Linked DNA regions of Xenopus tropicalis. The protein of the gene in region 2 interacts with the protein of the main gene of each other region in a pairwise test. Links are inferred from orthologs where the notes say so. Each region holds a gene or a part of one and is shown on either strand. Other genes may lie near its edges. The genes, in order: trim55 and usp13.

Region 1 (9,307 bases), on a different chromosome or scaffold from region 2:
ACTGGATAGAAAAATCCAGCAATAGGTGCAGAGTGTAGCGTCGGCTCATGAAGGGCCTGCAACTGCTCCATAACTTGTGCATCTAAATAATATGCAACTTAGCGATGGGCAAGGGGAGGGGACGGCTGATTGTGCCTAGTAAAGCCTCCATTTATTGTTTCATTGATAGCTACACTTTGGCAACCCTCATAAGCAGGATGTTTGTATTTAGCCAAAATATACAGTACAGAATTTAAAAAAAACTCCACTAGTCTGTCTTACATAATAAATGGCAATTGCTCTGTATGTACTACTAACTAACAATGTATGTAATTACTAACAATGTATGAAAAATAAATGTATTCATTCAAGTTTGGTGAAACGGAGAAGCAAAAGCAGGTAAAAAAGAAGTCTAATGGGTAAGAAAAAAGGTAGGTGGTGATTTATTCTTTTAAGGCATGCTTCTAATTCATTATTCATTAGTACCACCTTATGATCACACAGTGTCTCAGGTTTGTTACAGTTCTCCACAATAGAACAAGCAACCCCCTAAGACAATAATCATGTACTGTGCTGGGGGACTGGGAGAAATTTTGTGTTGTATAAACAGCCACTCCACAGTCTCTGATAATCTCTGCTTATCTGAATGACATCATGCCATGGATGTCCAACCTGCAGTCTTGCAGCTATTGTTACAACTCAAGCCAGCCATGAAAACCCTTGATGGGTTAGTTGATGCTAGGTGCTGTAGTTTAAAAACAGACTAAAGGTGGCCATACATATTGCAATCTGCTTGTTTGGCAAGGTTGCCAAATGAATGAATCTTCTCTTGATACGCCCATCTAATGTAAAACGGCGGGCATGGGCGCCATCAGACCAAGAACTGTGTCAACAAGCTGATGCGGTCCCCAAACCAACAGGAAAATCTAACCTGCCTAATCAAGATCTGGATAATTTAAGGCCAGATGTTGGTTGGGTAGGCCCAACAGGGGTGCCCAACACGGGCAGACCAGCTTCCAAATCAGTCTGAAGGACCAAAATCAACAGCTGAAATGTGCCCTTGTATGGCCACCTTAAGGGTATCTCTAGTTTGGACAATGACCATAGCTCACAAAACACTGCATTAAATATCTTATATAAACCATTCAAACCCATTGTGCAATTAGAACCTATTATGTACCCCAGTACCTTGGTGGCCTACGGTTCTCTCACACTGTGGGTTACATCTATAAGCTACAAACTTTACAACTGCCTCTCTCAGCCAAAAACTGACTTCATTTGCAGGTAACTGGCTAGGAAGTATCTATTTGTCCATACAATGAGAAGTGGTTTGTAATGCAAGAGGGAGGCAGATACTGTAATTATGTTATTTGTTTTTATATTTTTCTGTTTTGTTGTGTGCCTCAATTGTTAAACCTACAATTTACAAAATCTTCATAATACAAAACATGAAAACTGGTTAAAGCACATGAAATAGATAGATATGAAACAGTGCTTATAATTTAGCAACAACCCTAGTCCTATAACCAGCAGCATTTGGGATAAATTGGTCTGGTAATGATAATGGAACATACATCTGAAAGATATTAAAGACTTTACACATGCCACTTACTAACCCTATGCAATATACTGTATAATTGCTTTTTTACAATATATTCAATTGAGAATTATAGAGCTAATTAAATGAAGTCATTAGCTAATCACAATCACTATTATAAAAACAGATATGCAACTGTTAGGGACAATGGGTAAGGTTTGGCCAAATATTCCACTGAAAGAACTAAATAAACCTGGAATCTGGCTCATTTTCCACCCAAGGTGTCTCAAACCTTGCTTATTGGCAAAAATGCCCCTGGACATAATTGACTGGGCAAACTTTATCCATGTCACAGAATGCACAGATATATCTTTTCCCTACCAGTCATTTGAACTGAAGAAGCCACTCGGATGAGTGAAAAAACTCAGAAAAGTCCAGTTGTTTTAGACTTAATTCTACTAGATACTGTATATCATGACCTGGATGAATGAGAATCTTCATAGACATAAATATCTTGTTTTCCTTACACAATGCAATGCAGTTTTACAAATACAGTGTGGCATGTAAGCTCTTGTGGATAGGGCCTTTATTACCTACTTTATTTGTCATTTGTCAGGTACTCCTATGTACAGTGCCACGGAACATGTTGCCACTACTGAGGAGCAAAACTTTTTGCCAGGTTTTGCCATGAAAAAACACCCATAGACTCACAAAAAAAAGCTGTATGTTAAAAAAAACCTCACATGGTAAGGAAAAAGTTGGCAAAAAAAAATGTGAACTTAATGCTGATTTGCCATTTGGGATCCTTATGAATCTATAACAAGGTGACTAATATGACAGTGTTCTCATACCTCTAACCATGTCACATGCACATGGAAACCCTAACAAATTTAGGGCCAAAAAGTCTTGAATCCAAAAAATTCAGAAAAACTCTGCTTTAGGATATTTACTGTTAAAAAACAAGACTAAAATGCCAATGTTACCTTGTAGATTCCTGTTTATAAATGTCAATAATATTTTCAACCAGTAAGTTCCTTTGTAGTCCATAGACCCCATGTCTGTCCAGCACCACTTCATGCCGGCACGAGGGGCAACGAAAACGTCCGCCTGATGCTACTGTGTTTCCTCCTCGTGTTGGCAAATATGGATTGGAAGCCTGAAGATGACAGCAGAGAAAAATTGGTTAAAAATTTTCTATGTGTGTTAGACACGAGAATAGATTGAGATAAGTCTGTGTCTGACACAGGTAAATACAGGTTGTTGTAATAGTAGCATCATTGTCTCAGTTATAAGTACAGTCCTTTCAGTTTACATGCAGTATATACAGATATGGGATTCTTTATACAGAAACCCGTAATTCAGAAAGTTTCAAATTATAAGAAGTCCAGCTCCCTTGGACTTCATTTTAATCAATTCACAGTTTTGAAAATGTGTCTGTGAAGGTTTTCATTCATCCAGGTCATGGTATAATCTGTAGTAATCTGTAGTAATAAGTCAAATCAACTAGACTTGCTGAATTCTCTGAACTGAGAAAGCCAGTTGGGTGACTTATTACTACAGATATTTTTGAAAATGATTCCCCTTTTCTCTGTAATAAGAAAAGTAGCTTGTACTTAATGGTAACTAAGCTATGATTAACAGGCCCAGACTGGCAATCTGTGGATTCTGGCAAATGCCAGAGAGGCTGCTGTAAGGTGCCATTCACTGTTTAGTGGGGGCTGTTTGGGCCTCTGGGTGTTTGAAATGACAGGGCCTATTCTGAATCCCAGTCCAAACATGATAATTAATCCTTATTGGATGCAAAACAATCCTATTGGGTTTATTTAATGCCTAAAATATATTTTAGTAGACTTACGGTATCCAAATTATGGAAAGATCCTTTGTCTGGAAGCCCCAGGTCCAAATCACTCCAGATAATAGATCCTATACTGTACTGTATATACATAAACTATTGTCTTTACATGTTTACATTCATGTTTGAATGTTTTTAGCACACTTAAATTATGTTGATCCAAATTATTCAAAAACTTGTGATCTGGAAAACCCCTGGCCCCAAGCATTCTTGATCCTATACCTGATTTGTTTTTTTGTACATTGAATGACTATAGCTGTCGAATAATTGTAAGCCCTTACAAGTTGGCTGCTATGTGTTTTATATTTTTGTATTGCTACTGTATTGTTCACAGTTAGGGGAAAATATTGGTGCTTTAGAAAAAAAACATTAAAAGATGTATAATGTCTGTAAATTATCATTTTAATCAGAGAAGGTCAACTGTACAGTATATGTATCCAAGGCTTCAAACTGAATGCATAAATGTCAGATTAAAGTTAGGCACTGGCCTGTTGCATGGTGGCTTTACATAGGTTACAGGACATGCCTACCATGCAGACCTAAGTTGTACTACATCTCCCAGCAGCCACGGCAGCCTCCACCTGGTGTGGGATTCTGGTATAGTACACAATAACAACACTCTGTATGAACACACTCTATGTACTTTTATGTTGGATTACCTAGAGTAGTATCTCAGGTTTACTGTTTCATATATTCTACAGTAAGGTTTTCATTTTAATGTTTAATTAATGTTTAAATGATTTTTAGTAGACTTAAGGTATGGAATTCCAAATTACAGAAATATCTGTTATCAGGAAAACCCCAGGTCTCGAGCATTCTGGATAACAGGCCCTATACTTGAATAAAATCATAACAATACTTACAGCACATGAAAGCGGTGCTTGGATTTTCTATTGATTAGATGATCAAACATTAAAATTCTTACCTGGAATATATCACTTGCGCACTTCCTACACAGATTATGCTGACAGGGAAGTATGACCACGGGTTTTGAGAACATTTCCAGGCATATTGGACATATGAGTTGCTTCTCTAGATTATCCATAGTTTGCTGCTCTTTGGAGAATGACTTGTACTGCAATGAGGTGCTCATCTCCTTTCTATTCTGAGAAGCATAAACTTTTAGGAGAACTAGGTTGTGCTGATCAGTTTCCGGGTTCCTTCCCTTCAAATAATTCCTGGACTGTGTGTGTGATCAAATGTCCAATGGGTTTCCTCAGCTCAGCTGGGTGACATTGTTTAAAAGGATCATCTGCGGAGTGCTGGGGCTGTTTTTAGTAGCAGTCTGTCACATGCTGCCATACTGCTCTGTCCATATATGAAAGTGACACCGGGATGGATTCGGACAGGTGATGGATCCCAGGCATGTCTGGTCTGCATTCCTCTGTGTGGGAATTGGAAGGAGTGGGGGCAGCTGGGTAAAAGGACATCTGGAAAGGAATCTGACAGTTGTCATTATATATATGTCTGCTTGATCTGAACAGAGGAGCCCATGTGGGAAAGGGTTTCTAAAAGCAGTACGAAGTAATAAGGAGCAGGCTAAAGCTTGTAATATTCTATTCTTATAGATTCAGCATGGCATGTGTAATATAGGGAAAGATCTGCATGTGTATTTGACTAAATGTTGTGTGTAGGATACAACACGCTGCCAGCACAGCACATCCATGAAATTACTTATGTATCCAAGCAAAACACAAACTCATAAGGGGTCATTTATAAAGTGCAGTTGCGGTTGCACAAATGTTTCCACAGTCACAAATATACACCATTTATTAAAGGCGCTTGCATCCAAAGCTCCTAGCCCTTCTGCACAGTTGTGCTGAGTGCCCATTTGTTACAAAATTGTGCGCTACAGTGCCTGTTGGTGCAGGGGAACCCTCAAGCTTCCTACAACAGCCTCAGCCAACTGATACAGTGAACTTGTGCCTACAGAATCTGGCACAGGCGGCATTTTTACGCGGAGCTCTGGAAATTACAACATTTGAACTCTGGAAATTTTCAGCACAATTAGCTGCTGTGTGTTCACATCAAAGCACTCACACATATGTGTATGTTTTCATGCATTGGCCACAATTGTATCAGACGCATTATCGCTGTGTGCATATAATTATGCTGGAATTGTGGGAAAAAAAATGCAGCAACTTGTGCCTTAAATTACTTTTTGCCCTTTATTTTGCTAAGCTTGTGTTTCTCACAACTAAATCTTAAACAATCTTAAATTATGTTAATTTTGCTAAATATCTAGTTCAATATTTACTTGTCAGCTGTTCAAATGCAAACATCTTATTGGTTTCTTTGGGTTACTGCACCTGGCAAACCTTGTACATCCTACTTAGATATGGGTGTTTGTGTTGCACATACAGTAACTTTGCTCAGGACGAGGTTGCTATCTGATTGGATAAGCAGAATCACTTTCATTTCTGCCAACTCCTCTAATAGGGAAAGCAGCTTCTTTCTTCTAAAGAGATATATGTACCATAGAGATCTTTATATACCATAACAGTAAAGGAGTTATTTACTATGAACCTGGATGCAATTTCTAGAGAACCAAGGGACCCGCTTTTGTAATCCATTGGTAATCCAGCACTAGGTACAGATTACAGCACAGCCCTATAGGTCCAGTATTTGGTGGGCCCCAGGTACCCCAGTCTGAAGCTGATAGGATAGTGGGAAATCTAAGTAACACCTACAGAAATGACAACCCAATTGTCCTTCATCTAAAATAAAAACAGAAAGAAATGTAGATCTACTGATGAGAAGATTTGAGTCTAGGGATTATTAGTATATCAGCGTCTGTCAGGCCTCAGAAATAGGGTCTCTCAAGGGTCTCTGGTGGAGAGATCACTTTTGATATTTCTATCTCTAGTAACGCAAAACTAAAACAAAACTAAACCTACCCCCTGGAAATGACATTGTGTTGTATTGCAAAAGGACTTCCAAATAAATGCCTTCAATGCAGAGATATCTGGTAATGTCAAATATTAAGGGTCACTGGGTACTCAAAACCACCTGGTGTGAAGGTTACTGGAATCCCTGGAACATAAGAGCTCCTTATTTCTGTCTCTGCAGGAAGCAGTCTGAATCAAGAGATTGGGTAACATTGGCCCTAAACAAGGTAATAATGCAGTAATATTGGGGCCCTTGGCCAAAAGTGCCAGGGTCATACCAGACGTTGTACTAGTGCTCCAAGAAGACATGAATTTATTTTTAAAGGGAATGAGGGAGAGTTTCTTACAGATCATGTCAGGGATAAAATCCTAGAGCTAAAAACCATATAGAAATGTTTAAATGGCAGTGTTTGTTACTGGTTTGAGTAGGGTTATTCTAAGGAATGATGGGGCCTCATATCTCAACTGGTCACACCCTGACCAAGGTCCATCAAGACTACCTAAACCACTCTACCCCTGGGTGTGAAAAAGGCAGCAACTGTGAGAGTAAAATACAGATACCTAAGTGAAAAATATAATAAGGAAAAGAGACGTGAATGGCTTTCAAGGTTAACAAAGGGATTTTGTATTTTATCCTTTGCTTTGCAGCCAGACATGCTAAAAATTTTATCAGGGTGTAAACAAGTTCTCCCTCAGGAAAGTGTAGGAGGATTTTAAACCAACTGAACTTTGAGACTTAAAGGGAGAGAGGTGAGAGTCTGGAAAGATGTACCGCTGGTTGGGAAGGTTAGGGCTGACAAACGCACATTCATTTTGGGTAGCGGTGAGGTCTGTGCCAAACTCTTTCTTCTTTCTACCCCATCTGCAAAATCCTATGCCCCACTTCAGCCTTAAGCAGTCTATATTTATAGACAACTGCTTGCTCCATGTAAGTAACAAACAATATCATTTCTAGTGATTGCCATGGAAGTGATGCATGTACCCTATTCATTTGGCGCAACTGAACTATAGTGATTGATGCAGGGCACCGAGGGAACCCTTGAGCTACTGCCTATTCCAAAGATGGTGGTAGCTGTGGGTTTCTACTGCATTAATGAGTGTCACAGCTCTCAATTCAATATGGAAGGTAGGAAGGATTGGGTGGTGCCAAGCGCAACTATATGGAAGTCCTTGGAGGACATTTTGGTAAAAATACCTTTTATGAAAGTGGTTTTACACGCAACAGACTGTGGGGAAATTGAGGGGACCACATGCACTTGTGGACATACATATGCCCTAATAGGTCTGCAAAAATGGTGAGGCAATAAAGGAAAAAGTATTGAACCGTAGTGTTTTCTACATTCTAGCATGTATCTGCCACCCCAATGCTACACCCTCATAAACTCCATTGTCTACAAGCCAACAAGTTCCCTAACTGATACTCATTTTATTATTTTAAGTAAGCAATTCTTTATTCATTTAAGAAAATCTATAACAACATATATTTGTTAACCCCTCAAATACCATCCAAAGGCTTCTGTGCTTAGCAGGCATATCCACCCCCACACACATGTATTTCGCCATTTACTACAGTAGGCTCTCACTTATATGATACACTTCAGTTTTATCCATCATTATCTTCTGAATGACAGATTTTTAGGAAATATAAGAGCATTAGACAACTGTGTACAATTTTTTAATCATATATTTCCCACACACTTGTTTGGGGTTCATTAATGGAGCTTTCACGAGGTGATCTTATAGTGCATAGTTTGGCTCTATGGTGCAAGACATGCTGTAAAGTAACATCTAAAAATGAAATTGTTTTAAAGCAATGGAAATACAATGTACTGTTGCCCTGCACTGGAAGAACTGGTGCCTTTGCTTCAGAAGCGCTACTATAGCTGTAGCCATGGGGGCAGCCATTCAAGAACAGGCTACACAGCAGATAACGGATTTTGTGTTTTTTCTGTCGCTACACAGCAGCTTATATATACAGGTATGGGATCCCTTATCCGGAAACCCGTTATCCAGAAAGTTCCAAATTACAGAAAGGCCATCTCCCATAGACTCCATTATAAGCAAATAATTATAATGTTTAAAAATTATTTCCTTTTTCTCTGTAATAATAAAACAGTACCTGTACTTGATCCCAACTAAGATATAATTACCCCTTATTGGGGGCAGAACAGCCCTATTGGGTTTATTTAATGGTTAAATGATTCCCTTTTCTCTGTAATAATAAAACAGTACCTGTACTTGATCCCAACTAAGATATAATTACCCCTTATTGGGGGCAGAACAGCCCTATTGGGTTTATTTAATGGATAAATGATTCCCTTTTCTCTGTAATAATAAAACAGTACCTTGTACTTGATCCCAACTAAGATGTAATTACCCCTTATTGGAGGCAAAACAATCCTATTGGGTTTATTTAATGTTTAAATTAATTTTAGTAGACTTAAGTTATGGAGATCCAAATTATGGAAAGATCCCTTATTCGGAAAGCCCCAGCATTCTGGATTACAGGTCCCATACCTGTATAAACTAAAAAGCAAAGTTTCTGAAGTAAAGGCACCAGTTTTACAAGTGCAGGGCAACAATACATTATATTTTAATTACTTTCATTTTTTTGAAATTACTGTTCATTTAAGCCTTGCATTGAGAAGAGCTAATGCTATAGTTTCACTTAGTGGAAAGCTGATAAATGATCCTGACCGATTTGCAATGTGCTTTGTGACACTAGGTCAGTGTGACCTGGAACATTTTATTTAACTCATATTCTCATTTTTTTGTGTTTGGGACAAAATAATCAGCATAACAAGCTCTCTAACAGAAACTGTTGGACTACAGATTGTCCTTTTTTCCAAACAAGTCACTACTTGGAGCTATAATGAAATATGACAAAACTAAACTCCCTTAAACAATCATGCAAGCCCCCCAACCTCTGACATTGGTGATATAACTGCCCATCAAAATGTTTCCATAAATATACAAAGTCCAAAGATCTATCAAAGTAATCCATGGGATAATGTCAATAACAGAACTAAATGATAATGAGAAAAAGGTTCA
Region 2 (8,773 bases):
GGGCTCAGATGATTCTCCAAATTAATTTTAACAATCTGAATTTTACTAATCTGATTTAGTTTCCCTCCAACCAAATTCACTTCAATCAGTGAGGGTTCCATTTTATTATGTGGCACATCAATTCAGTGCAGTCTAAACAGTGTTTGGTTTTTATTTATCAGTAAGGTAGAAACAACTTTGTTTGAAGTCCTAGATTTTAAATGAATTGATGAAATGAGATTTTATAGATATTAGTAAAGCACTGATTTTAGATGTATGGGTAAGCAGCATGTTTGCTTAGTACATGAACTTTTAGCTATTTCATGTTGGTAGTATTGGGCAAGCAGCAAGATTATTTTTTTCCATAGAGTAGGATCTTCACACTTTTCAGTACTGTATAACAAACCACTTCTTTCTGAGTAATGCTTCAAGCCATATTCTGTTGCTATATCTGGTAATAATAAGGTATATGTACTTTGTTCTTATGGACATTAGATCTATGACTAGGCAACACAGGGACAAATACTTATGGACTTCTCCCATTTATTTTGTAAATATAAACTTTAGGTGACTTGGTGCAAAAAGAAGAATCTTTTCTTTATTCATTTCCATGCATTGATTTAGATAAATTATGTTTTATATTTATGTTGCTGAGCTTAATACCCCTGTGTTTTCCAGATCTAGAAAATAACACCGAGATGAACACTGAAGATTATGAATACGAAGATGAAGCAAAACTTGTTATATTCCCAGATCACTTTGAAATTGCCTTACCTAATATAGAAGAGCTACCCGCATTGGTCAGTGACTTTGAGTGGGATTGTACAGTGTGAACACAAACCAAGCAATATTTGCATCTCATGAGTTTCCTTTTTGGGACTTTTTTTAGTCCCTTTTTTTTATCTATGGTCTGCAAATAGATTTGTGTACGGTAATCCCTTGACAAATGGGAAATGTCATATTTACTCTGTGAAGTGTGAAGACCCTTTGCATTTGAAGTGCAAGTAACGCCAAACAGTCAGATTACTTGGAGCAGCATTGTGTTCTAAGCTGCTCATCTGTTACATGCTATGCAAATTGGGCATTGCAGGCCTGCATGACTGCTTCTACTGTTACTAAAATACTTGTTTACGTTTAGGCCTCTGGCACATGGGGTGTTTTGTGAACAGCTGACTTCAGGCTAAGAACAGTGGCTGACAAAACACCCCTCTCCACCTGTTACAGCTCCTTATACTAGTGAATGACACATGTGCATTTGAATGGACATAGAATAGTGATGGAAGTGGAAACCAAGCACTAGGTTGAGAGGGGCATTTTGGTTGCTGCTGCTTCTCTCTGCCTGAGGGCAGCGACAGACAAAACACCTTGTGTGTTAAGGGTTTAGAAGTACTAGACTGATGTCACATGGGGCTGCGGTAGACTTGCTGAGAGTTTACATCTCAGAGCCAATATTTGCTGCTTCTGCCTGTACCCAGGTGGACACAATGCTTTCGGGTGCAGGCAAGGTAAGAGGCTAACGCAGGCCGAGAATCAGCCCCGCGTGGCATCAGCCTTAGGTCAATGGTAAATGCATCAGTTTAGTGCCTGTGATCTTTAGTGTCCTGGGAGGCAACCATAACCTAGACTTATATACATTATTTTCCATGGCATTACTTCCTGAGCTACAAAAAATGACAGCCAAAGATATCCCATCTACCATTATCATATGATTACTGCACGCATCATGAATAGCATTTTACCTATTAATTATCACACATTAATGCTTTAAAAAAATAATCTTTTAAGACCAATGTGCAATGGACCTTTGACTCATTCCCCTTTGTGGTTTTTCATCTGAAGAAGTGGGGCCTGAAAGTGGCTGTGCAGTCTGTGTCATGTAACTGAATGTGTCTGTCATTAGGGGGCAGAAACCTGTATCTCAACCCCAAATGTGTTGGTGCTTAAATCCTAAACTCATATACAGTCAAAACAGCCAGAATCACATTTACTGCCTGCCATAAGAGATGATGCTAAAAGCAGATGACAGTGCACCTCCACTTTTAATCGGAAGTCAAATTGTTTTGTGGGTTATGAGGCTTATATAAAATGGGGCAAATTTTGTGTGTTTTATCTGCTTTATTTTTTAGTGTGTTGTCAAGGAGCTATGAATTGTCCCTTTCCACCTCCCATAGAGTTTAATGTGAGAAATCCTTTTTATGTACCATCCTTCTATCTGCTTTGATGCAAAAGTGTTTGAAGGTTTAACCCACTTTGTTTGCAGGTAACAATAGCCTGTGATGCAGTCCTCAATTCAAAGTCTCCATATAGAAAGCTTGACCAAGAATCATGGGAAGAAGAACTCCAGGTTTCAAAGTTTGCAAACAACCTTGTGCAAATAGATAATGGTGTGAAGATTCCACCAAGGTAACTGTCATGAAGTAGCAAGGAGTGGAAACTGTCATTCTTAGCCCTTTTTTTAGCTGTATAGTGCAAACATTTTGCCCTAAATATTGCTCTAAACATTTGTATAAAGTTTTGCTATATAAAATATTAAGTCTGGCAGTGTCCGCAGATTTACTAGTGCTATGTTGTATGAAAAGTGTTTACCAAATTTTTGAACTTGTTAATTAAGTAGCCTGTTTCTCAGTGGCTGGAAGTGCTCCAAGTGTGATCTCCAAGAGAACCTGTGGTTGAACTTGACAGATGGCTCCATTATGTGTGGAAGGTGGTTTTGTTCAGGCAGTGGTGGGAACGGACACGCTCTTGAACACCATAAGCAAATGGGCTACCCTTTGGCAGTAAGACTAGGAAGTATCACTCCAGATGGGGCAGGTGAGAAAATGATTCTGGGACAACATCTGTTATTAGTTGCAATATATTCTTTTCATTCTTGGATTATTCATTACCTGGGTAACAGCAGCTTACATTCTGCCTGTTTAGGGTAACCTGACCTCTAGCACTGTTACCTTGACCTTTAGCACATTTAGAGTAGGTGGGAGGGACAGGGCCATATTGTATAAGAGCCCTAATAAATATTTCAATATCAAATGCTTATGAATTGCAACAAACTAAATCTCTCTGCAGCGCAGGGCCCAAAATATTGAAAAATAACAGAAACATCAGTCTTTATCTGCTTTACATTCCAGATCTACTGTTGACACTTGATCTTACACTAGGGTCTCAGGCTTAAATTCTACCTCCTATTTCTTCAGACCCCATGTCATGTCATTTGCTATTATGGTCTCTCTGCATAATTAGCCCATAAATAACCCATAGATTGAAGCATTAATTACTGACAAGAACTCGACAAACCGCTTTAGAAAAATGCTTTATCTTTAAAATGACATTGTCCTTTAAAAGTAAACAGTGCAGCAACATTATTGAGAAAATTTACATTCAAATTTTCTACTTTGGTTTCTACTTTTTTTCTACTGTTTAGCCAATTTAATATTTGCATGATCTTGCAGAGTAAATTGTACTATTCAGTTCTCCATTCTTAGTTAATTGTTAATGTAAATTGTTAATGTTACAGAATGTCTTAAGGTGCCCATACACCTTAAGATCCGCTTGGCGATGTCGCCAAGCGAGCGTATCTTCTCTCGATATCCCCCACCTACGGGTGGGCGATATCAGGAGAATCCAGGCTAATTCGATAGTTTGGCCCTGGGGCCAAACGATCAAATTATAATGTCGGGCATAGGAAAAGTCGGTCCGGGGACCGCAACAACGAGCCGATGCGGTCCCCGATCCGACTAGATTTTTAAACCTGCCCGATCGAGATCTGGCCGATTGGTTTTCCCTTTTCTCTGTAATAATAACACAGTACATTGTACTTGATCCCCATTGGGTTTAATTACTGTTTAAATATTTTTTAGTGGACTTAAGGTAGGAGATCTGAATTATGGAAAGACCCCATATCCAGAAATCCCCAGGTCCTGAGCATTCTGGATAATAGGTTCTATACCTGCAATACGCTATTGGAGAGATGATCATGTAAATTTAAAATATGCTTTGCTGATGACCCCATCTATGCAAATATTAATAAATATATCTAATTGCGCACTATCGTTTGGTCATTGCAGATGTGTATTCCTTTGATGAAGAGGAAGCAGTTATAGATCCCCACCTGGCCAAGCACCTTGCGCACTTTGGCATTGATATGCTGCAGATGCAGGGAGTACGTGTTTTCTTACTAATAATGATCATCCTTATGTTTATAGAGGTCTTTTACAAAGCACAGTTTAATGCATTACTGTATAGTAGCATAACCAGTCTGTATTAGGAGGTATCTCATCTAAGCACCATGATGCTTATAAATAAATAGCAATTGTAAAGACATGATCCCTATTTAGTGATTATGACCTCTCGGCGTTTTCTTGTTGACATGATGCTTATTGGCTCTCTTTTAGAGTGAGAATGGTGTCCTGGACAATGAAGTCAAACCAAGAGTTAATGAGTGGGAGGTTATCCAAGAAACTGGATTAAAGTTAAAGCCAATGTTTGGCTCTGGCTACACTGGCATTAAAAACCTTGGGAACAGCTCCTACCTCACTACAGTGATGCAAGTCATCTTTAGCATCCCTGAGTTTCAGAGAGCGTGAGTATCCTTGAATGTATTGGAACTCTTTGTATTTTTTGTTTCATATGTCATTACAAAGGTGACCACTACAGTACAGCTGAGAGCATGTGGTTTTTCTCTAGATTAGAATTCCACGTGTCAACCCATGTTATGATCCTTTAATTTTTTAAACTAAGGAGCATTCTATAGCCTGTACATAAAATTGCAAATTAATGCAACAAGCAAACCAATTTGTCTCTAGAGTTTAGTGGAGATCTGACTGGTATTTTAAACAGGTCTTCTTTGATTGATGTGCAGGTCTATCCGTTTTAGATGGTGCATTCTTTAGTTTAGTCTGAAATCTGTAAATGTCAGTCTTCCTATTCAAACCATAATTCATGGAATTAATTCTATGTAGTGGTGTGCAGACCAGCCTGAAACCCACAAGTCGGGTGGGTTTGGCCAACATTAGCAAAAGATTTGTGGATTGTAGGTGGGTTCAGGCTTCCTTTTGCCCTGCCTGTGTCCTTACTGTACCCCATTTCTGCCTATGATAGCCTCTGTTTATAGGTGTGCGCTTGCACCGCCCCCTTCATGACACAGAGATGGGGCAGGTCAGACACAAGTCAAAATAGAGGTGTATTCCCGGGTTGGGTTAGGAGCAGGCAGGTTAGGGCTGATGCACATCACTAAATCTGTGGTCATAGATATAAATATGTGATGTGGCATTTTGGATTATAGACCAAAAATGACATACAGGTATGGGACCTGTTATCTAGAATGCTCGGGACCTGGGGTTTTCCGTATAAGGGATCTTTCCGTAATTTGGATCTCAACAATTTAAGTCTGCTAAAAATCATTTAAATAATTAATAAACCCAATAGGCTTGTTTTGCCTCCAATAAGGATTTATTATGTCTCAGCTGGGATCAAGTACAAGCTACTGTTTTTTTCGGAGCGTTAAAACTTTTCTCGCCTTTTTCGTAGCCATTCCGAAAGTTGCGCAAAATGTTGCGATTTTTTTCGTAGCGCTCGGATTCATTCAAGCTTCAGTATGGTGACTTTTCTTGGGCCAGGTTGGAGCTGCAGGGTGCCATTGAGTCCTATGGGAGGTTTCCAAAATCATGCTAAGTCTGAAAGTTTCGCCCGCCGCTTATGAGCGCTCAATACGAAAAAGTCGCGTCAAGATACGAGCGAATCATAATGGATACGAAAAAAATCGTATTGGTAACGAAAAAGTCGCGACAATTTCCGAAAAGTCGTAAAGGCGCCGAAAAAATCGCAAAAAATACGAAAAAGTCACAAAATTTTCGTTTTCCAATCGGAATTTTTCCAATTCGGATTCGTGGGTTAGTAAATGTGCCCCTTAATCTGTTTTCACACTCCAGATGGAAATCTAAAAAAATGGCTGTGCCCTGGTAATATTTAAATATATTTTTGCATGCTAATTTCAGGTACCTCTTCTGTAAACCATCTAACTATTCCAGGATTACAAACATTAATGCATTATGGTAAACACATGCAAGCAAAAATAAGGTAGAAAATATCTAGTAGTGGAAGTGTTTTCATTTGTGTTCTGTTCATTTCTCCCAGATCAGGGAGACCTAATATGAGCAAATAGACCCAGAAAGAATAATTTGGCAGCATGTATAGATGTATGCAATAGAATACCACTCTTTCCACCCTCTCTGCAACAGTGTGGGACTGGCCCACCAAGATACCAGGAAAACTCCCGGTAGGCCCATGTGTCAGGTGGCCCTCTTGCTCACACAACCATTTGCCTTTTATGCCTATACCATGGACATTACTCAATTCTATGGGGCTGATTTACTAATCCACGAATCCGAATCCCGAACGGGAAAAAATCGGATTGGAAACGAACATTTTGCGACTTTTTCGTATTTTTTGTGTTTTTTCCGTCGCCGTCACGACTTTTTCATAAATTGTTGCGACTTTTTCGTAGCCGTTACGATTTGCGCGAATTGTCGCAACTTTTTCATAGCCGTTACGACTTGCTCGTATATTGTCGCGACTTTTTCGTATTGAGCGTTCGTAAACGGCGGGCAAACCTTTCAGACTTTGCATGATTTTGGAAGCCTCCCATAGGACTCAATGGCACTCTGCAGCTCCAACCTGGCCCAAGGAAAGTCTCCCATAGGGCTCAATGGCACTCTGCAGCTCCAACCTGGCCCAAGGAAAGTCACAATACTGAAGCTTGAATGAATCTGAAACTTTCGTACTCGGCGCGACCGCTAGGAAAAAGTCGCGACAATTTGCGCAAGTCGTAATGGCTACGAAAAAGTCGCGACAATTTACGAGCAAGTCATAATGGCTACGAAAAAGTCGCGACAATTTACGAAAAAAATCGCAAAATACCGATCATTACGAAAAAAACGCATTCGGACACTTTTCGGACGTTCGTGGATTAGTAAATGTGCCCCTATATGTGAAGAAATGGAGGAAAGGATAGATAATAGTATGTAAAAAGTGAACAGAGAAGGGGAGAGTAGGCGTAAGGTTTAAGGGTTTTCTGGTGGGCCCTTGGCACCCCAGTCTGACACTGTTCTGCGTTGACTTCTTTCTTTTTAACCTCTGGGCATGGAATATTGACACAGTTAACTGTGCTTATTGGCACTCTTGCTAGTAGCTTCCGCTGATGCCATGTAAACATTATATTCCACTATTTGCACAAAGAAATGGTAGATCAAGTTAGTTTTTCACACAGACAAGTATGATAAGACGATATTCCATGACTTCCTCATGTGCCATGTAAACAATTTATAATTGTATAATTTAATTTAGTATAAATACTAAATCAGATGCAAGGTTTTATTGTTTTACACCAGTACATGAATTTTTTACATCCCACTTCTCTCTTGTATTAATATTTTTTTCCCTGTCTTATTTTTTAGATATGTGGGGAACCTTACACGAATATTTGATTATGCACCTCTGGACCCAACACAGGATTTCAGCACACAGATGTAAGCAATAGATACCATTGTTCACCTTGACCAGTAGATATTATAAAATTCTGAAATACCCTACAAAAACTCAAAAACTATGTATTTTTCATGTAGACAAAAACATTTGTAGCCCCATTAAAATATAATTTCTTTGCAGTAAAAACAATCAGGAATAAGGGGAAAGATAAGAGTAGCATCAACTTCTTTCACTATTTCACTATTTCTTTCTGTCTGGACTCTGGATATCATGGGAGGAGATAGAATGATTTAATCACCCACCTAGCCAACTATTTGATATTGGGCCCTGCTCTCTCCTTTGTATTGCCTGTACTCTTGTGGCATAAATATAAAGAGTAGATCTTTATGCAGACTCCTCACTTCCTCTCTTTTCTTAGAATAATGGTTTCCAAATTGGGCCTGGATCAGTACCAGGGTGGCACACCAGAACACCTAGCTAGAAGATCAATTCAGGAGAGATTTTGGGTTGAAAATGTATATGCTGTGCTATATATTTTTAGAACTATGGCTGAGCGAATGGTAAATTAATTGTTTTCTATATCTGTAAATTTTTATGAACTAAAGGGGGGCCTGGCCATGGTTTGGAACTTCAAGGAGAACTAATAAAAGTAATAAAAGATAATAAAAGTTTGACAACCAGTGCCTTAGGATGACCTTTCTGGGCTTAATGAGAAGTAGTTAATGTAAAAAGATATCATGTTCCATTTATGCATATAATAATTTTAATCTGTAAGTAATGCTTGGTGAGGTCTGACAGTGGCAAGGCACAGCAACTGTATGTCAGCTCACTTCAAAATATAAAGCTCACTGACATGTTTTCATGGTTTTTCTTCATGATTCTGCTTAGGGCTAAACTTGGCCATGGTCTGCTGTCAGGACAGTTCTCCAAACCTCCAATGAAATCTGAGCTAATCGAGCAGGTGATGAAAGAAGAACACAAGGTATTTAATCTGAGAATTGCCAAAGGTAGAGTGAGTTATGGATATGAACAGATGCAAGCTTTCACTAATGCACAGTGGAGTCTTATTAAATGTCATTTATGGAGAGTATCACACCAATGTGCGATTTGCAGAAACCTCAGATAAGCCCTTTGATTCAGGGGACAACTAGCAAAGCAAATATTAAATAAACAGCATTGGGTACATCTTGGCTAAACAGGGTGACGTTTTGGTTGTTCTCTCTTGGTAAATAAGCTACCTTGACTCCTCTTTTTAGAGATTTAAAGGTTCTTGCCAAATAAAAGTTTTTTTTCTTTTTTTTAATCTTGGTTAGTA

What was found.
Region 1: the proteins of usp13 (region 2) and trim55 interact in a two-hybrid assay, tested with the Homo sapiens proteins (2 studies listed by BioGRID and IntAct). The link is inferred for Xenopus tropicalis from reciprocal best matches to the Homo sapiens genes USP13 and TRIM55.

What each region holds. Positions count from the first base shown.
Region 1 is NC_030682.2:118,727,375-118,736,681, reverse strand, and holds the start of trim55 (tripartite motif-containing protein 55), read right to left. Parts: upstream 4,658-9,307; 5' UTR 4,462-4,657; coding exon 4,294-4,461; intron 2,673-4,293; coding exon 2,500-2,672; intron 1-2,499. UniProt on the Homo sapiens protein: E3 ubiquitin ligase that plays an important role in regulating cardiac development and contractility, muscle growth, metabolism, and fiber-type differentiation.
Region 2 is NC_030681.2:108,721,940-108,730,712, reverse strand, and holds part of usp13 (ubiquitin carboxyl-terminal hydrolase 13), read left to right. Parts: intron 1-657; coding exon 658-779; intron 780-2,239; coding exon 2,240-2,382; intron 2,383-2,590; coding exon 2,591-2,790; intron 2,791-4,040; coding exon 4,041-4,135; intron 4,136-4,367; coding exon 4,368-4,555; intron 4,556-7,427; coding exon 7,428-7,499; intron 7,500-8,346; coding exon 8,347-8,440; intron 8,441-8,773. UniProt on the Homo sapiens protein: Deubiquitinase that mediates deubiquitination of target proteins such as BECN1, MITF, SKP2 and USP10 and is involved in various processes such as autophagy, endoplasmic reticulum-associated degradation (ERAD), cell cycle progression or DNA damage response.